Linked DNA regions of Coturnix japonica. The protein of the gene in region 1 purifies or fractionates together with the protein of each later gene. This does not show direct contact. Links are inferred from orthologs where the notes say so. Each region holds a gene or a part of one and is shown on either strand. Other genes may lie near its edges.

Region 1 (10,788 bases):
GAAATGGCTTTAAACTTGGAGAGAGTAGATTTAGACTAGATATTAGGAAATGATTCTTTACTGTGAGGATGATGAGATACTGGAACAGGTTGCCCAGTGAAGTTGTGAATGCTGCCCCCTCCCTGGAGATGTTCAAGGCCAGGCTAGGTGGGGATGTGAGCAACTTGGTTTGGAATTTGGAGTGATGCTGCCTGTTGCTGATTCTCGTCAAGTGCTGGTGAAGTTACCTTATGAATGCCTATAAATGTAAAATACAGAATACCACAAAAAGGGCTGGAGTCCATTTTAGTTAGTACTTCTGCCTTTTTAATGAATTAGAGAAGCTGGAATTTTTCAAGTTAATACGTACAACTTCTTGATCTCTAAAAAAAACTTGCTAGCCCATGACTTTGTCAAAACAAACAAACAAACCCAAAGCCTTGCAGTGTGTGAAGTCTTTCGTACTTAGTTTGAATTTCTGAAGCGAGCTGGTTCTGACTCCTGAATTTTCACCTTGGTAAATTTCTAAGCTTTGTTAGCAGAACTCTTAACCAGTTCTGAGTGAATTACGAAGTTGTTAAACTACTGTTATCATTGTGTTTTAAAAAAAGGATTTTAGCTTTGCTTTATTTGTTAAGCTGTAGAATTGCTGCTAAAACATAGGGCTGTAAATGCATGTTATCTATATTTTTAGTTTTGAATATAATGTTCCATACATGCTAATATCTCATTTGGTATTTCTTTGCCAGGCCTTTGATCTTTTCATCTTAACAATTAAAAAATCAAGCAAATTGGATTTTGTTTGTAGAGATAAAATAGCATGCGTAATTAAAACAGTTTTAAAGGGCATGTTTATTATCAAAACAGGACATGATTAGACAGCTGACAGGGTGGAAATACCTTTCTGAGCACCCAGAACATGTTCATTGCTGAGAAATTTAACAAACTCATTCATAGCAATGTAGTTCTCTTAAATGCAGAAAATATGTTTTACATTGCTGCTTATTCTCCTAATTAAATTAATAGCTGACACTTCGTGTAAGAAACCTTTTGTGGCTACAGCAAAAACTGTTCTTTTTTTTGCAGGGGGAAGGCTGCCTGTTCCTTTTTTGTTTTTATTCCTCAGGCAAAACTTACAAAATATAAAACGTTTTGTTTTCTAAAAGTTAATTTAAACTTATAAATAGTTATGCATAAAACAGTTTTCTTAGCCCTGTTATTCAAGTAATATATGAGGCATTAGAGAGCTAGCAGTAGCCTGCGGAGTATTCTAAAGTTATTGTGGCAATATATAATAAAGCCAATTATGTGCTTTTAAATTTGCTGCTTGTAACTTTTCGTTCAAAATTATTATATGCAGCATTATTTTTCTTGCTTCTTCTGATCCAGTGTGTTAAGCAGTGACCGTGGGTCCTCCCCTGCACTTGCGTGTTTTTTTTCCAGCAGTCTTTTTGATTACCGTGTATATCGTGCAGTGCTGTGTCACATTCCAGCCATTTCTTTGCTCTAATGGGAAAAGGCTGCAATGATTCTTGAAAAACAAGAATTGAAATTAAACAAAGCAGTTGATGGCTAATTGATCCGTGCTGTAAAGTGGACTTTCTGCCACAGAACCCTGAATTTTTCTGTGAGTAAATGCAAGATGTTAGTTGTTTACTGAGCTGCTTTCTTCTATACAACCCTTTAAATAGGAAATGTCTAGAGATAGTCTTGCTACCAAGAACAAAACCTTCAGAAATATAATCTGTGACTTAAAATTCATTAACAGGGACCTAGAGAGGCTTGTTTTCATGCCTTTGGAGCTTTTGCTGTTCCTGGGGGGAGGGTCATATGGTATTGGTCTTCTGCATCCAGCACAGATGAAGATTGGGTGTACAGGGAAATTAGTTGATGGGGAGATTTGTAAGGAAGGGGAAGATAGAAGGAACTAGGAAAGCACTGAAGAGAGAATGTGTGGAGGCATCTAAGAAGAGTCCATCTTTTTACTATATCTGTAGAATAGATGTTTATCAGTCCATATCTGTTTTCTATCTTATATGCAGTATACGTTAGAAAGTGTATGAGCATGTACTTGAAGTCTCAGGTGTATGAGTGGGCTAGAGAATTCAGAAGTAATTGAGTAAAACCATTAATGCTTGAGGAGTATTGTAAAGAAGTTGAGTTCTCTAATGCCTCATTTCTTTGAACCTAGTAACAGTATCAACAGAGTTTTCAGCTGATGCTTGACTGAACAGGCACTAACAGAAACTTGAACATCTGGCTGTTTTTCATGTTTTCATTTTTATTTTTTTTTAATACTTGAAAGCAGTTCTCTTCAGTCTCAGGAGAAAAGGTTGCAGAGACTATTTGCATACTCCACTAGGCAAGAAATCTGCCAGATAACCACGTCCTATTTAGCAGTTATTCTTGCCTGCTAGGTGTTAACTTTCATCCCAAACAGCAGTTCCATGTGTGATCTTGTATGCCTCTCCCCAATAAGATGTTGGCCTTAGTTACTGTTCTGAGCTGTACTGTGTTTTCCTCGTGGAATATCCTGTCCTGCCTCTGAGTTTTCAGTGCATCCATCTTCTTACTGCCCTTTGTTTCCTTGGTGGTTGTAGGAAGAAGCCTTTGGTGGGTAGGATGTATTTTATGTGACTGTGAAATGCTTTGGGGATATGTTTTTGGGGGATTATTTCTTTCCTTTTAGAAAACTGACTTGCAATCTCCAAATTGAAAACATTAATGTATGCTTTGAAATTAAAAGCTTTCAAGCACATGTAAAGGCATATTTACTTGTGCTTTACAGGTTTCTTGTGCCCCTTGATCAGCCATTTTAATCTTAATGAATCGAATGTTTGATTTAGTCTAGCCTAGTGTTCAGTGTACCGTGTTCAGGGTTTGGGGCTCGTAATCTGATAGGTGACGTGGATTTGCTTTTATGTGGGATTGCTTTTAGAGCAGAAGACTTTCATGAGTGTAGAAGATTTTTCTTCACTTTTTTTTTACCTTGTTATTTTTAAACTGCTAAGAGCATAATTTTGCACTTAATAACTCAGCGTAATTTACTGATCAATAACTCACTTTATAAGTGATATACATGTGATAAGTGTATTTAAATAATTTAGTGTACAGTGAATCACAATTAGTTTAGCAACGCAGTTGATTTCATATTGCAAAGTAGTTCCTCTTTAACATTTATTTACAGGTGAGCTGTGGTTATTGAATCTTTTACATACCAGTGATTTCCTTCAGAGAAGTACTGCTCCTATTATTTGAAATTCAATTTTGAATCATGTATCAGCTTGTTTCTTTTTCATATTCTGGCTTGTGGTTCTTGTTTTGATTGTACTATGTTCTGCTGATAACCGTGAGACAAGAATAGCTAAGTAATATATTTGCATACATTACTGCTGATTTAAAAACTGAGCAGCAAAATTTTTTTTGTAGAACTCTGAACACAAACATTACAACATCATTACTCTTTAACTTGTGTCTTGGTTTTATTTCCTACCAGAAGTGGAAGAACTATTGACTTCCCTAAAACATATCCAGCATGTCTTGGTAGACCCTCAGAGCCAAGAGGATATCTCTCTCATCTTACAGCTTGTTCAAAATACTGATTTTCAGAATGCATTTAAGATACACAACGCGGTTACAGTGTACATGAACAAAGCCAGCCCTCCGTATCCTCTCATCTCCAACGCACAAGAACTAGCACAAGAGGTATGTACAGTATGCATCTCTGTGGTATCTATACGAAGTGTGTAATCGTAGCTGTTGTTGAAATGTGTACTTGGTGAACTTGTCTGAGTTACTGCATGCTAAATAGAAAATGGATTCCAGTAGTCACTGATTGCTGTGTCCAGCTTTTCCACATCTCCAGGAAAACAGTAACTGGAAGAATATTTTGGGGGTAAGAACACCCATTTTGATGTGAGTAGTTATGTAAAAGAATTAAACCATGTAAAAGAATTAAACACAAAAGGGAGCAGTTAGGGAAAACTTTTCATGTTAGGTTATTATTATATTAGTCTTTAGTCCAAGCATTAGTAATTGCATTGCAGTTATCTGTTACTGTGAGTTTTCTCCAAGTTTAGCCCTGGTTCTTAAATTTGGAGGCATCTCTGAAAACACAGCTGTACTGGAAGAAAACATTTTGCTTTAAAGTAAGCAGCAGGTGCCTTCCTACTTCATTTCTATGTTTTGATTACTGCTGTGATTGTCAGATTACAATTAATTTTTTTCTGCCATGAAAAAAAATAAGCTCCCTGATAAGACTAATCATGTCTTTTAGAAATGGTTAAACATGCTTTTAGGGATCTACTTCAGTAAGATTTAAGACTTCCATATTTTCACTGAGATCAGAAGTATTTGAAATACTGTTAAAAATTTTGTTAACTGTTTTCTTTGAGTCTTAATCATTTGAATGCAGATGAACAATGTCTATTTATAGTAGCCTTATAAGGCTACTTGGTAGACCCTCAGAGCCAAGAGGATATCTCTCTCATCTTACAGCTTGTTCAAAACACTGATTTTCAGAATGCATTTAAGATACACAACGCGGTTACAGTGTACATGAACAATTCACTGGAATTACTTCTATATTCCAGTTTCATTGGAAATTCTTCAGATACAAATTTACAGATAACAGAGGCAGTATCAGCACAAGTGCAACAGGTTGCATTCTGCAGAGCCAGCTCCCCAGGCCAGTTAAGTACACCTGCTCAGACCTGGCTCAGGTGCACTGGCGCATTGCTCACAGATGCATCACTTCCATTTCAGTATGGCAGCAGGATGATTCTTGTAGTGTCTGGTTTTGTTGATCTTGAAAGTCAAAGAAAACAATGTTGCAGTCTTTGTTCTTTTGCAGAATTAATTACTGGCTCTTGAGAGATGTCAATAAAACATTCTCAGAAGGCACAGTTTGCCCAGTAATCTGCTGCTCAGGATTTTTCTGTTCAGGCTTGTCAGTAAGATTGCACCAAAACCAAGTGGGAATATCTTTCCAGTGAGCTTGCCTCTGGTTTATTGGTCTGCCTCTAGGCTGCTCCAGGATGCTTGTTAAGCTTCGTCTGAGTCTGGAGGAACCTTCCAAGTTAACTTCTGTTTGTAAGCCATTTCCTCATACATACATCCTGCCTGTAGGCCTAGTTTGCATTTTCACTCAGGTGCAAGTCAGAGATTTTAAATCTCTATTTGTATATTGAATGTTTAGATTAATATAAGAAATGTGGTTGGTTTTCTCCCCCACCACCACCCCTCTCCTTCATGGATATGATATTTCTTTGGTGCTTAATGGAAGTTTCCAGGAGGAATATATGCCTTCCAACTCTAAATTACCCTGCAAGACAAAATCTTTTCTTGACATCTGTAGTGGAATAGCAGAGCTTTATCAGTATAGGGCAAACTACAAGTCAGTTCTCAAATGTTCATATTCCTCCCTGCCCTCTTCCCTAACTCCCACATTCTCAGCACATTCCTCTGTTATTTTCAAGTAGTTTCATAAATCCTAAAATCAGAAGGCAGTGCAAAGGCAGTTATGTGTCTTAGCAGTAATGCATAAAAGCATTTAAGAATTAAGTATTTTGCTTGTCTGGTGGAATTTTGTCATGACCTAGAAGAATATTACATAGAATGTGATGTATTCCTGCGCTTGTTTTGATGCTCCATCCCCTGTCTGTGTCTTGTCACAGCCTTGAAATTCCTGAAGGGAAATATATTGCATATGTCTGTACTCATTTTCAGATGTAATCTAGATTCAGCTTCTGATTTATTTAAGCAAATCATATTTTGCAATACTTTGAATAACATCCTGAGATGATTAAGCTGGAAATTCAGGACAGATATTTCTGTGACCAACAGAAGTGTTGTAAGGAAAAGCTTGAGGCCTCCGTTCATGTCATTCTTGTTTGAACAGATCTTACATTCATTTTTCAGTCCTGTTATCCCTTAATGAGGAAGTAATTTTTTGCTTCAGGAAAAGTTGTTTTCCACACACACACACACCTCCCAGCAGGGGCAGCATGCCCAATTATTTTGTAGTTTTTCCTGTTTGTGCCTTTTGCTTTTCTCATCTCTAAATATTAGGTTCCGGAAGCTCCCTCAGAACTCAGTACTTTAATCTTTTTGGAGCATTACCTACTTCAAGGTGTTTTTAAAGAGACATTTGGAAAAGTCTTTAAGGTGGAATGGAGCATTTAGGTGTAGGGAATTTATTTTAAAGACCTAATCTCCATAAAACATTGTGTTGTTCATCTCTTAAACAAAAATAGCCAGTAAACATCAAGTGTAATTAAATTGATTTTAAATCCTTTTAAATTTGACCAAAATAGAGGCAAGGATTATGGGAACATGGTCTGAATCTTGACCTTGTAAGAATATTTGATGCAGCGTGTAAGACACTTGGTAGTTTTTAGCTTGTAACACCACGTCAAATGCCTTGAATATATTCTTGCTATTAAATATACTCTACAGACTCAATTTATATAAATTATGTTCCTAAATACCTGATACCCTTCACTTCAGGAACTGTAATCAATTAAATTTGATCAGGCCTTCTGAGAAGACAGATTGTATGTTTGTAACTTCCAGTGTAATTTTTTTATTATGTGAATGTACATTGCTCCCAACGGTCGCACTGAACCCACGCAACATGGTTTTGCAGGTATGATTATATTCTGAAGGGCCAACATCATTCCAGTGTGAGCCCTCTGGTATGTGTCTCACAGTGTGCCTCCAAATTGTGGCTTTTATAATGAAACCCCATTAATAATTTCTTAGCTGTTAGAGTTCAAGTTAATGTAACTAACAATAAAAACTGGAATGAAGGGTTAAGAAAATAATAGTATTGCCAAATGTTTAGCGCGGAATGCTTATTCTGTCTGTGGTGTGTCACTTCTGGAACGTCAGCCTAGATTTGGATTTCTTCACCTGATGAGACATGGAATTCTTTACCTTAAATAACAAAGCAATCTGACATGCAGCAATACCAGTGTAATAAGAGTTGCACAAAGCAGACTGAACCTTTCCTAGTGATTCACACATTATATTAAGCAAATAAATAATGAATTTATCTTTTCCTTAGGAAGGAGGTGGAGGAGCTGTTAGCGTTTTTGAGTAATATAATTTTTCAAAGAGGAAATTCAGCTGCCATAGAGGATGCTATTGCACAGAGGATCACTGGTTGGGCCAAGTCACAAGGCATGGAAAAATAGAGGAGGAGGGGAGATGCTGTTCTGAGCATCTAAATGTATATATGGCTTATTGTGCGCTTATTATTCAGGCTTCATATGTGAATCATGTAGCAACTAGCAAAATGTTACTTTAAATAATATATTGTTTAGGATTGTTCTTATGCTAAATATTTATTTTATAAATTCACAAAGCGTGCAGATTTGATTCTGAGATGTACTACATACGTTCGTAATTATTGGTACATCTTTTTCTCTGTCTAATACTTAGCATCTGGCCACATGTTTGAAATGTCTTGCTTGCAGGACTTCTAACTGGGGATAACTTCCTGGCAGCTGCAGAGATATGACTTAGGTCAAACTGATGTGAAGCTGAATTCCTTCTGTTCTCTGTGTTTTTATCTAAATTAGTTCTTCAGTTTAGTTCTTGATTTTTTTTTTATTTTTTTTTTTTGTCACATTTTTCATCCTTAAGAGTGGAAAACTCTCGGGGAAAAGAATGTTTTCTATCGCACAGAAAGCTGCTGTTATGTATAATCTGTTCTTGATTCCTACAGCTTCATTAGTGCTTTTGGACTCATGACTTTGATGCAGATTAGGCCTGAAGATAATTACTGTAGAAAGTATCTTCTTCAACCTTGCCTTTAGATAAAGGGGAATGCCCTGCTCCTGGCTTGCCTTTAAAGCATACAGGGATTTTCTGTATTTGAGATGATGGCAAGACCTATTTAAGTGAACAGGAATGCAAACCTTTTTTGGCAACAAAAGCTACTTGAGCAAGAACAGCTGTTGTCTTTCTGTGGATTATTCTTTTTCTGTGGCAAACAAAATAAATAATAGCTGAAGAAAACTGGTTTGCTGAGATGCTGGTATTTTGAAGTTTTGACTCTTAGAGTTTCTGAGGCAGATGTTCCAGCAAGTGCTGCAAAACCTGTCTTGGAATCTTTGTTCTTGCTGCTAGTAGCAATACTGGGTTAAAAATAAATCATCTACTTTTAAGGAAAAGGAAGTCTGGTCACAGTAGTGAGAAACTAGTCAATTTTGAAAGATGTAGCAGTATTTGCATGGTAGGCTTCACTGTGGCTAATTATGCTGTCAGGTTCTTTTCTCAACTTCTTTGCATACATCTCTTGTGGTAGCTGAGATCATTGTTATCATTGTTAGTTTTTGTTGAGAAATCCATGTGATATACTGGATACCAGTTTGCATTCGATAGAAAATCACTGAGGTGCAGCATTCTGGAGTAGTCCTGTGATCTCACTGCATGTATTCCTAATGTGTACTAGGCCAGGCTCAGTGCGTCAGTATAACAATTATGTGCGCATATTTTACTTTCAGTAAAATGAATGATGATTGCAGCTAAGGTTTTGTGCTTCAGTTGGAGAAGGAAGACTGATAAATCACTGGGTAGACTGAGAGCTTTACTACTTCATTTCTTTTCAGGTTCAGTGTGTTTTGAAACCCAGTCACCACAGGGATGGGCAGGAACTCAATGCCTTGCTGAATGCCCCTCACATGCAGGTAAAAAAAAATTATTGTATTCTGCAGGTATTACAAGGTAGTTTTGACGTGAGCAAGGTAGCACTAGATCAGTAATGTCAGTGGCAACACATGAGCTACTTACTTTCCTGAGGGTTTTTTTCTGTGATAGATTCAGCTATTGCATTCTTATAGTAGGGTGCATAAAGAGAATTTTGTCCAGTGAAGTAAATTCATGAGTAGTTTTGACTGCAGTAGGTTTTTTTGCTTCTGTATCTTTGACATACATAGTAAACCAATGTCTGACTTTTTTTTCAAGAAGGAGAAGCCATAAGTATAGTTCCAACTTTGTGTTCAAAGTAATTTTGTATTATTTTCCAAAACCGAAAGCAGAATTTTTGTCAAGTAGAAATTACAGTATTCTGTATTTATAAAGTATTCTGTAGTTATAAAGAGCTTTCAAATTGCAGAATTTCATTGATGGCTACTATTTTGTATGCATATGGAATTAGAATTTTTCTCATTTTGTTTAACACTAGGCACTTCTACTAGCACATGATAAGGTTGCAGAACAAGAAATGCAACCCGAGCCTGTTGCAGATGAAAAAATTTATGAGAATGTTGGCACGTATGGAGGGGAAACGGTTAAAATAGTTCGTATTGAGAAAGCTCGAGATATTCCATTGGTAAGTATTTGTACTTGCCCAGTTATGCTTAAAGCAGTAAAGCTGTCTTTGCAGATAGCTATGAAAGTTACAGGATTTGAGTGTGAAAGTTATATTTAACTTAGAAATCATTTTCTTCCCCACCTGCCCAAATGATAAATGGTCATAAATGATTACTTAATGCGCATTATGATATAGCAGTAGACAGCACTTAGAGCCTGTATAGCTTTCATCGTGTGGATTTGGCTAGGGTTTTATTATAGCAGTCACTATCCAAGTTTAGCTGCAGGAAAGCTTAGATTCTTGTCCAATTACAGGTGGCTGTGTTATGTTAGTGTTCTTTTTAATCTACTATTTTGCATCTTTAAAATTAGTGTTTAGGAAAGCTTTTATTTAAAAAAAAAAGAAGACTATGAAAGTGTAGAGTAGTTTATTTCTTCAATCTTTAATATCACAGAAACAAATATGGTTTTTGTTTTTGTAAACTAGAGCATTACATTCAATATTATATGCATTTCTTTCAACGGAGAAATGTCTCCTCACTGCCTTGAAATACTTACAATAGATGGCTTTGAGTTTGTGATATGTAATAAATTCAGAATTTGTTTCTACTACACAGGGAGCTACTGTTCGTAATGAAATGGATTCTGTCATCATTAGTCGAATAGTCAAAGGAGGTGCTGCAGAGAAGAGTGGGCTGTTGCATGAAGGGGATGAAGTTCTGGAGATTAATGGCATTGAGATTCGTGGAAAAGATGTTAATGAAGTTTTTGATTTACTGGTGAGTTGGGAACTTTGTTTTCCCTGCAAAAAATACTCCTAAGGTTGAAGTCTGTTACCTCTGCTTGTCATTTGTAGACATATTTGCAATTATTTTAGAGCCAACTTTACTCTCATACTTAATACTCACACATGGTGGGCCATTTTAAGCTTACTTTCTCATGTAAGGTGCAATTTTAGCAAGTATAATGGCAGTTAAATGCAAAAATGAACCTTACAAATGTGAACAAGTCATGCTGTCATCTTGAGGCTTATTTTAATGACTTCTGATGAAAAGCTTTGCTTAGCTGTGAAAAGCTGTGATTTTTTTTATCTGTCTTGGACTCAGTTCTCAGTTAATATCAATAAATGTGTGCCTGCATGATTCTGGTCCTGCCTGGCTGACATGGAGTTCACCATCTTCACAGTAGATGGTCTCTCTCTTCAAAATCCAGTGTTTTATCTGTTGCTTGCACAGCATCAAAGTGGTTTCTCTTCTTCATTCTGTCCCTTCCCATGAGTGGGTGCATAAGATGTTGTGTTGGGGACAGTGAGGACAGGTGTTCTGAATTGACCAAAGGGATATTTCATGCCAAGTAGTACCGTGCTTAGGAAGAAAAAATGGACAGTTAGCCATTTCTTCAGTGCTGGTTTTTTTTTGTTTAGTTTTGTTCTGAACAAATCATCATCAACCAATGAAGCCTCCTAGTGTAAGACTACAGTTTTTAATGGAC
Region 2 (10,788 bases), on another chromosome or scaffold:
GTTTGCCAGCACAGCTGAGCTACTGCAACCGCTAGTTGCTGCTGCAAGGTGTGGTCCTGTTCCCAGCCCCATCCCATGTGCTGTTGTTTGAGCACTAGGTGGGCAGGAGGCTCGGCCCCACCAAATGTGGGGGCTTGTTGGGTGTTTAACTCCCTGCTCCAGTTCACTGTGGGATCAGATGAATAAAGGCCAGCCCAGATGGGACGGGAAGGAGGACAAAATGCATGAAAGATACTTTGGCTTCTTGGCTGTTAGATGGGTACAGTGTTGTCAAGTTGTTATTTCCTGCCATACTGCATTTCTTTTCTGGGTTTAATCTTCACCCTACCACTGGCATTAAGGTGTTTCAAGTCACTTTTCCTCATAGGAGTTCTTGTGTATCTCACTGTTGCTGGTTTGCTTTATTGTTTTACTGCTGATGTGAAAACGGGGAAGTTACATTGATTATGAAGGGGAAAAAACCCTTCATATTCCTGTTTTTTAAGATTCACACAGTATTTTTAGCTAAGGAGGTGAAGTTTGGACTTCTTGGTTTATGTGAAGACTCAGGAGTATATAAGGAAATGGTATTTTCATCTGTACTTCAGAATCAGATCTCAGCACAGAATCAAAGGCCGCTGCTGTGCTATTTTGTTTCAAATAGAAAAGGAAATAAAGCTGCAGAACTCACATAAGTTCAGATGCATTCCTGAAAGTCTTTCAGGAGTTGTGTGCCTCCTCAGCCCCTCCTATGAATTTGATTTGAAATGACCTCCTAAATCTGTTAATAGTCTTGTGAAGGGACTCATTTTGCTTGGCCCTAGGTGGAAACCATGCAAGTCCACCGAGTTCTGCAGGAATTCTCGTAGAAGCCAAAATTGCTTACATTGAGCAAAGTGTACATAAATCTGAAACTGTGCTTTGTGACTTACCACCTATTTTTTTTTTTTTTCTTTCTTTTTCATCTGCTTAATTATTATTCTCTTATGTATTTCAGTGTCTTCCTGGAATTCCAGACATTTTTGGCTGGGGCGTGGATAGGATCAGAGCTGAAAGGGTCAGAGGTTCTGCTGGGTGAGCAATAATACACAAACAACCATACTCGCTCTTGGATTGCAAGATTAACAAAGTAAATGTAGAGCTTTTTTTGCAGTATAGATTTTTTTTTTTTCCCCAAATAATTCCAAATTTATATTGTTCTGAAGTTGCACTGTTATATACAGGGCATAGTCTAAATTATGTAATTTGTGCTATTAAACAGTTGACTTCTTTCAGAAGAGCTTGTACTAAGCGAAGAAATCTTGTTTCTTGTGTTTTTGGTGTAACTACTTTGATAGGTTTCAGAATGAGAGGCTCCACCTGAACTTTATAACTTGCAAATGAAAGTCCTCTAGGCCTCAGCCTCAGCTGCAGACCTGTTCTCTTTCACGTTGCAGAGAGGGTGGGAAAGGACACCATGTTCCTTTAAAGCTTGTCTCATATATAGGAAAGAGAAAGGCAAGCACATGGAGGAGAAGGACATAGTTTTCTCTTACCTATTTGACACCAAAGCTGTCACTAAGATGCTGGATTAGGAATTGGGTTAGCCAATTTGGGACATTGATGCTATGCTGTTTTGTGAGCAAAGGGGACCTCATCATTTTATGGGAACTTCTTGAAGAATTGTTTTATTTCAAGATTTCACCTGTATTGCCACATAGCAGGGCTGAGCTGTTGTGAGATACACAAATAATTAAAACAAGTGGAAGTACCTGCTAAATAATACAAAGAGTTAGGTATTGTGTATTTGAAAAGATCACAGTTTTAATGTTCTCATTCCAGATAATTTGGTTGAACATAGCTGTGTTGATTTCTTTGACCAATTTGTTGCTTTTGTTTTATAATGTGTATTATTCCTCATCTTTGGAAGAGTTGTTCTTCCTTTTCTAGTGTAAAAGCAGCAGCACACAGAACAAGGAGAAATTTGTGAGTGTGCTGGGCTGCTCTGCAACTGGCTGTACTGAAGAGCTAATTGTGGTGTTCTTTAATTAATTTTGTTATAGTTAACTTAATATTTTACTACTGCATTTATTGACATTCTACCTTAAAGCATTCTACTCAAAGATATCATGTATTTGTTTGTTGTTTTTATCTCATCTAGATTATTCTGAGTAATTCCAAAGATATTCTCCAACATGCCTGAAAACCCTGCTGCAGGTATGTAGTCTGAAAGTGAATACTCTGTTAAGTGGTGAGAAATTATGCTCCATTCCTAACATATAACTACTTTGTGGTGCAGATAAACAGCAGGTGCTGCAGATCATTGACCGTCTGCAAGCAAAACTGCGTGAGAAAAGAGATGTCCAACATAACGAGAACCTGTCTGTGCTGCGAAACACGCTCAAGAGCCCTTTGTTTAACCAGATTCTGACCCTCCAGCAATCCATCAAACAACTGAAAGATCAAGTGAGTGTAGAATTACAATTGTTGGTGTGATTATAACTATACTGAACTTGGAACAAAAGTCTGTGTAGGCATGCGCTAATGAGGACAGTCATTAATAAGCTATAAGTTGGTGCTACTGAATGTTGGCCTTTTTCTTGTCAAGCCTGTATCTATTGAGTCACTTCTGACATGAGAAATGACCTTACAATGCTCTAGTCATGGGGCACCATGCTTTGATAAGGGTGTAGAAGAGACATCGAGAACCACGTCAGTCTGAGAAAAGCATCTGCAAAAGACATCAGCTCTAATACTTTGAGTTCTGAAAACAGTTGAAACTGAGATTCTCTGTTTTTCTCAGTACTGTTCATCAGCTGACTAGCAGCACCTTGTCTCCTTAAAAGACACTATCCGTTAACTGCTGCTGACTTGTACAAGAATGGTTAACATGCTTTGGGAAATAAAATGTAGAAAATCACCCTGAAGATGTGCCAAGCTCTGATGCAGACATATCCAACCTAGCTTTTAAGTCAGTTAAGTATGGCAGTGGAAGTCATAATGCCAGTAGATGCTTGGATCTTGTAGACAAAGATGTTGTTGACACCTCTACCATGCAGTTTGCCAAGTCAGGCACGGAAGCTTAAAAATCAGGGACTAACTTGGCACACTCTATGCAACACTAATTCCTGTCTTTGCTGTTACTGAACCTGTCCAGCTGCAGATATGGTGGGGTAGGTCTCAGGAGAATGGTGCCACCATGCTGTCATTGCTAAATATATTGCCAGTATTGCTGCCTGGATACCATGTAGTGGCTCTGCCATTCATACTTGTCTTCTTCCCCTGTTTGCATTGTTGGAGCATCTGCTCCCGTCTTCCAAATCTTGAGTGCACGTCTGCAAGCTGTTAAAAGTGAGCAAAAATCCAAATCTAGGCTCATGCATCGTAACTGTGGCATAATAGATTTTATATCCAGAATGCTCAGGCTTAACATGTCTAGAAAATAAAGTTTTTGGGTTTTTTTGTTTGTGCTTTTTTTTTTTTTTTTAAATTTTTCTAAGCTTGTCCCCTTTGAGAACTTTCATTCAGGATGGGATTTTTTTTGCTTTACTTCGTTGCACTGGAAGTGTTTCTGCTTTCCTTTTTGTTATTTTGTTGTGTCCTGTTATTTAACAGGACTGGAAACTGAACTACAATTCTAGCTGTGGTAGCGTGTTCAGTTGTAGTTACCTTGTGTCCTAGGTGCACTCTGTATATATTAGGCATTTGAGTGGTTAAGTGACTCGTAAAATTTTGGATTCTAGTGTGAAAACTGTCTGAATTTGCCTGACAGTTCCACCAGCATTTGAGTGCCTCTTTAAATATTTGGTGCAGAGGGAGAAATGAGTAGGATGGGCACAAACTGTGAAGAAGAATGGTAGAACTGACAAAATCGTGTGGAGTAGAACCACAGCTGAATTATTCAGGGAACATTCCTTTCTGTAAAACAGTTTAAAGTTGGTGTGCTGTCTTGATTATAGCTTACACGTTAACATTACCTAAATTACCCAGGTGAGAGCAGTTGTGAGAATGTGGATGTATAAATGTGATTCTTTGTCAGTCTTCACGCGAAATTATATATGTTGAAATCTGTGTTCGTTTTTAATAGTTTTGCCACATCTCTGTTCATTTTTAACAGCTCAATTACATGCCACCTGAGCGGTCAGTAGACTTTGATTTTACTAAGAGAGGACTACTGGTATTTGCTGACAAATCAGTTACAGCTGGAAATGTGTGTAAACAGAGCACTTTACCAGAACCCAGAGCATCTACCTTCATTCCAAACCCAGGAGTTAATGATTTTAATGCAATCATCCAACAGATGGCAAAGGTGAGGCTCTCAGGTTCAGTCAACCAACCTTTAATGTCAGACTTTTTCTTGCATGATTTTGGAGCACTTGTTCAAGCATACTGTTTGATTGTATATCTTGGAGTGTGATGCAACCTAAGCCAGTAACAGAGGTACCAAGGACCCTTGTTTGTTTGTTTTTTTTTTCCCCCCTATGAAAGATTACGTCAACAATGGGAAGTATTTTCTTTACCATTTCTTTTATTTTCTACCACATCAAGGTAGAAATGAAGGTTTGGTTTCCAGAAGACTTTTTTTCTTTGTATTTGATGACACTTAATTGAAAATGGATGTTTTCTGCAGAAACTTGTTTTGATGGAAAGATTTTTTATCAAGTACATTTTGAATTGGAAATGTACCAGCTTTGTTGATATATGAACAGTGCAAATGATTAAAAGAGCTGGCATGTAATATTTTATTTAACTCTTCATTTAATATGTCTCAACTTTGCCAGACAGATGCTGATTTCATTAACATGATGTAGCATGTACCAGATGCTTATGGAAGCTGTACAGGTGCAGACATCTACCCATGTGCAATTGGCATTTATACCATGAGTGCATTGTTCTGTGTTACTTTGAGCCATTAATTTAATTGGTTAGTCGTGCCTTTCTATATTAAGTAACTGTTGCTAATTGACTACCTTAATGTAGCTGTAATATTTTCAGCATAACTCTTCTTGTTAGCGTGTCATTAACTCATCTGATAAAAGATTTAACAGTAAAGACTGCACGTTATTTTGGATAAAGCAGCTGCGATAGAAGTGCTTTCTCTAAGTGTCGCTTCCCAGTAAACAACCCCAGAAATGATGTGTTTGAACTGAGAATCAGGCAGTTGCAAAAGCCGAGTTTTTCTGTTGTTTTGGTTTTTATTTGCATTACATGTGAAGTTGCAGGAATGGGAAGGAAATTAATTTCTTTATTTAAAAGCTGCAATCTTTTGAATGCGTACCTTAAAATCAGCATTAAAAGCTAAGGGAGCCAAAAGACAAGTAATTTAGTTTAACTATGCAGCATTTCCAGAAACCCCAAATATATTGCTATAGACAGCACTTTGTTCTTAGTTTTCATCCAGTTTGGAATTCATCTCATAATGTGAATGAAGTGTGAAAGCAGCTCTTAAATTCCCTGAGGTTTCAGAATCTCAGAGTGCTCGCATATCCAATACTCTGTTATATTAAAAATAATAAATGGAGGAGCTTTTATAGGAATAACATATTTAGTATTTTGCCTTTGTTTAGTCTTAGGAGAGGAATAATTCTCCTGGTGCATAAATTTTGAACTAGCTCATTCTATTGCGTTAAAAATTAGTTAATCCATTTCTTTTTATTTTACCAGGGGAGACAAATAGAATCAATAAGGATTGAAAAGCCTTCTGTCGGAGGTCTTGGATTTAGTGTTGTTACCCTTAAAAATCACAACTCAGGAGAAGTTGGTATCTATGTCAAAGAAGTTCAGCCAGGAAGCGTGGCTGACAGGTGAGATCTTTATAATTGTAATGGAAAAATTGCAGCAGTTCTGTGAAAAGAGAAGGCCTGATTTTTGCCTTGGAGGCTGTCAGGCTAACGTGTTTGTTTGGATTATCTGGTGGGATGCTTTGGAGGTCGTATCTCGCGTTCTGGCTTTTCAGCTAAACAGACTCATGTTTTGAGGATCAGATTTTCAGATGAGTTCCAAATATCCATGCCGTTCACAAATGGAATTTCCAGAAAACATGACTCACTGAAGAGAACTTTGAGTGCTGATTGAAAAACAAAGGCAGCTCGGAAAACAGTACAAGGGAAATAAAAACTCGTCTCTGGATTTTTATTCATTGTATTACTGAAAGATTTTTTTTTTCCCCCTTGTTTCTCTATTTATGTGCCTATGACAATGCTCTATTTATAGTTGGGTTTACTGTGTGTTTCCTGTGTAAATTAAGATCCAGTCCTTCCAGCAGATCCCTGCGCAGATGTCATCATAGAATCGGTGCTTCAGGCACTTTTTTCCTGTATTATCTGCAAGTTCTCACCCAAAAACAAAAGACAGAGCAATCCTTGAAAAACAAAATGTGATTGTAAAACCACGAGAGTTGGCATGAGACAAATGCAGTGCTTGGAATTATGTTTAAAGAAAATGTGTCTAGATTACAAGTCATTGGTGTCACTTTTTAAATAACACATGTCAGGAAGTGCCAACATAGGATGACAAAGAGTGGGGAGAGGTTGGAATGATAATGGCTATGGGCCCACAGAGAACACACCAGAGAACGCTTACAAGAAAAGCATATTAGGCTCTTTCAAAGTGGAGACAGATGGACTGATCTGGATGTCAAAGGAGGGTGAATATCTCACTTTAGGATTTGATGACCTGCTGCTCACTTTCTTTGATGAGAGAGTCTAAAATATGGCGAATGCCTGAAGAAAGGCGTTTCAGGAAAACATCTTAAATGTGGCGTGGTAAAAATGAACTTTAAAATGCATTAGTTAAGATGTACAGCTATATTGTTTTGGAGGTTTCAAAAATCTCCCGGCATGTTCGGTTCTGAGTTAAGATCTCCTGGAGTCTTTTTTGGATTCCTACAGAGCTTTGAAGGCAGTGTCTGTCTATGTAACAGTTTGGTCTCATGCTCGGAATGAATATTTAACAAAGCGGATAAGTGATGGTTTCTCTCTTGTCACAAATCTAAATTCATCACTTGGATGAATTAACTGTGAGATTTATGTTATCCAAAGGTATAATATAAATCGAACTGTCTATTGCCTGAGGAAAGTTTCATGTCTGAGTTTTGATGATATAATTTATGAGTAAAATAGAAATATACAGCTTAACTATCTTTAGGATCAGGTGATGATATAAACCAGTATCGTAGCCTGAGTTTTGGATACTTGGAAATGATGTCCTGTGATGCTAAAAGTAATGAAGAAGAGTTCCTAGTTAGCTGTGTAATTGCAACTTTTTTTTTTTGTCCGATTTAACATCATCAAGAAAGAGTGAGGAGATTTCATTGAATTTTGAATAGTCGAGGGAAGAAAACTGAATAAACTTGCACACTATGATAAAGTTAGGACAAACTTTGGCTGGGCAGTTCAGTACAAACGTATATTGTGTGTGATTTGTAAGTTGAAGTCAGTCTAATGAGTAGATTATTTTTTTTTTTTTTAATGTAAACTTTGCATGGGAAGTCACTGTGCTGCATTTTGAAATTGCTTTTAATGTTTTGTTAAGGGATCAAAGACTAAAGGAAAATGACCACATACTGGCCATTAATTGCACCCCATTGGATCAGAACATTTCTCATCAGCACGCTATTGCACTCCTCCAGCAATCCACGGGATCTTTACATCTGGTTGTTGCTAGGGAGCCGGTTCAAGGAAACAGCAGAACTTCGCCTGTCTCATTGAGTGATACAAATCCACCTGAGACTGTAAGTTGTTGCGATACAGTCAAAATCAGATTTTGAACTATGCTGGGTACTCTTTTTAGTAGTTTTAAGTGTTTCTACAAGTTAGCTTTACATACAGGGTTTGGGGTTTTTTTAATCATGTTTTATCTGTAGTTACATTTGATTTAGACTGATCATGCAGTAAGTGTAACGCTTCCATTGCAAAGCTGCATGAAGCTGTTATAAAATAGGTCCTGGGTTTTTATGTGTTAGTAGAAGTTATAGTAAATCAACCATTTTCTAGCAGCAGGGTCTGTTCAGCATAGTCTGGATAAAGTGTTTTATAAGTATACCCAGCTGAAAAATACTTGCACTTAGCAATTAAAGATGCTCTGATTATATCTTAAAACACTGTAAACATAACCTATCTTGAGCACTGCTTGAAATACCAGAACCAGTGTAAACTTAAATTGCTCAAAACCGAATGCCTTGCCTTTGTTTTTCTTTAATTTGTTAAAGAACCTACCCATTCATTTTTTTTATCTTCTTTTTTAATCTGCAGATTTCATTCATTGTGAGCTCTTTTGTTTTCTTTAACAAGGAGTGATTGTCACTCAGATATAATAAGCTAAGGCTGAGCTTGCATCTGTGTTCAAGCCATATGGTCCAGGTGGCTTCATTGAATTTGGTTGAACTGCACACCTAAATCCAGGGTTTGCAATATTGGAATCTTAATTTATTATGCTAGCAGGTTTTGATGAAAATCTGGTTAAGAGCAGTGTTTTTCCTTATTCTCAGTAATTATTTCCCTTATGATTATTACAGAGGTAGTGAAATCTGAAGGTTTTAGTGGATAATCAATATTGTTTATTGCACTGAAAATTTTAAAGAATTAAACTTTAACTGCTTTTTCATTGAAAGATCTGCACTGAACAGACTAACAAAATAAAATACAAATATATATCTCTACAGGGGGTCTTTAAACTCCTTTTATGATATTTAACTGGCTTTGGCAAAGATTTTCAGTATGCTAATAAATCCTTTATTCACAGAAGACTTAAATCTGCCTACTTTGCTCCATTTTGGTTTCTATGAGATATTAATCTGACAGAAACATTGCCTGCGTTTGGGTTACTTAACAGCTTTGTTATTTTCAGATTGTCTTGTAGAACATAAGGTCATCGCACAGCGTAGCTTAGAAACATGCTTCCAATTCAGCATGGCAGAATTTATACTGCACTATTAATTCAGCATGTACTGGTGCTGTTTAGAGTGTGTAAGTGACATAACAGATAGAAGAATTTGGGCAACGCTAAGTGAAAACTAGGCCAGTTCAAGCTTCTGGACTGTTTCTCTGTTTGCAATATTCTTGATTTCTGAAAAACTAGTAGGATAGTTTCCATTTTGGCAAGAAAATCTTTGAATTACTTTTTCTTAGTCAAGCTTTTTCCTAGTATCCTGTTACAAAAGTGAAGGACAAAATGTATGTTCGGTAAGAGATGAGAAACCTCACTGCATATTTATAAGGTAATGTAGTCAACTGAAGAAAATCCAAGAGATCTCCAGTATGTGGCAAAGAGAAAAGAGGTGCTTTGATTCTTGTTTCTCCTGGTACAGGTGAAATTGAGACGCATTAAAGATGGGCTGAATTTAAAGTCTTCTCTTCTTATTAATTGCAGATTCGTTGGGGCCACGTTGAAAACGTTGAGCTGATTAACGATGGCTCGGGATTAGGCTTTGGAATTGTAGGAGGAAAGCTGAGTGGTGTAGTTGTAAGAACCATTGTTCCTGGAGGATTAGCAGATCGGGTAATTTGTTATATTATGTCACTTCTTATTTGATTGCACAGTATAATTAACTGCTTTTGACAGTCTTAAAATAAACTAGTATACTTAAACAAAAGGAAGCTGATAGCATCAAAGTCTGAATGCCAACATATACTTTATAAATAAATATGTTGAAGATATGATTGAGGAAAAAAGTCAGCACCTGATACAAATTAAGCTGTTTCTCAGATGTGCTTTGGCTTATACAACATTGTTGAACATGCAGACAAGCTAAAAAGTTGTCTAAGCTTCTCGTAGTTTCAGTACTTCTAATTCTTTCTGCAAGACTTTCTGAAGTTCCTGCTATTTTTTAGTTATACGGGTCTGATTTGTGACTTCTGATTGTCAGTCTTTAATGATCCAGCACTGAGTGTTGGTATATTTCAGGAGTAGAACGCATGAATGATCTGGATTTTTAATGTGAATTTGGCCATGAAAAGTTGTTGCACTGAGAACTGGAGCCCATGCAGTCAAGACCCAGTAACAGAAAAGAATGTATGTTTTATTGTTACTTCCGCTAGTAGAGGATGGAAACAAAAACTGGAGATTCAGGGAGCTTTAATGGAAAATGCTGGCTCTTACTTGACTGCTTTCCTCTAAACCTGTCATGTACGTAGGAGTATTTTTTAATTATTGTGTAACACCTGTTTTGCTGTAAGGAATAAAGTGTCTTGGCCACAAATGAAGCATGTAAGTTAAGAACTCACCACATCATTCTCAGCTGAATGAGGCATCATTAAGAACATGTGAAATAATGAGTGCATATACATGTTAAAATTGGATGGATTTGTAAATGAGTTTGAGTTAGTCCTGGAAATAACTCCACTATGATTGCTGTATAAATCAGTGCACCTAGGCTGGTAGGGCTGTGCTGATCAATACCAGCTGAGCATTTGGTGCTATGAATGCTTGCTTATACTAGGAGTGATGATGTAGGCCATGAATTATAATTGTCATGTAAAAAATGGTTTGCGTGTGTGCAGAGCCCTGTTACCTTCAATGGAGTTGCTTGCTCGAGTTGGAGCTAGCCGTGTGAAAAAAGAATTGCCAAGTTAATATAGAAGTGTTATTAGCAACTTTAAAGTCTAACCCTTGTTCTGTGCAGTTTATTCCAGGAAACTGCAGTACATAACAGCTTGTAAGATTATATATTTTGGGGTTGGAACTGTATGGTCTTTGAGCTCCCTTCCAATCTGAGCCATTTTATGATTCTAAAATGTTGTTACCCTTTTTTTCCTAAATAAGAAAAGTAACCATTTCCTAAGGAACAGTGGTATTCAATGTGTGTATATCTTAGTTTTGAAAAGGCTGATT

Evidence for each region. Proteins that work in one complex are often made in the same cells at the same time.
Region 2: the proteins of MPP5 (region 1) and PATJ purify together in Homo sapiens (co-immunoprecipitation; 5 studies listed by BioGRID and IntAct, counting the BioPlex papers as one, with this or other methods). This does not show direct contact. The link is inferred for Coturnix japonica from reciprocal best matches to the Homo sapiens genes PALS1 and PATJ.

What each region holds. Positions count from the first base shown.
Region 1 is NC_029520.1:27,489,506-27,500,293, forward strand, and holds part of MPP5 (MAGUK p55 subfamily member 5), read left to right. Parts: intron 1-3,475; coding exon 3,476-3,684; intron 3,685-8,594; coding exon 8,595-8,672; intron 8,673-9,169; coding exon 9,170-9,316; intron 9,317-9,914; coding exon 9,915-10,076; intron 10,077-10,788. UniProt on the Homo sapiens protein: Plays a role in tight junction biogenesis and in the establishment of cell polarity in epithelial cells.
Region 2 is NC_029523.1:24,551,277-24,562,064, forward strand, and holds part of PATJ (inaD-like protein), read left to right. Parts: intron 1-976; 5' UTR 977-1,108; intron 1,109-2,119; 5' UTR 2,120-2,153; coding exon 2,154-2,175; intron 2,176-2,257; coding exon 2,258-2,424; intron 2,425-4,075; coding exon 4,076-4,267; intron 4,268-5,622; coding exon 5,623-5,762; intron 5,763-7,491; coding exon 7,492-7,690; intron 7,691-9,327; coding exon 9,328-9,456; intron 9,457-10,788.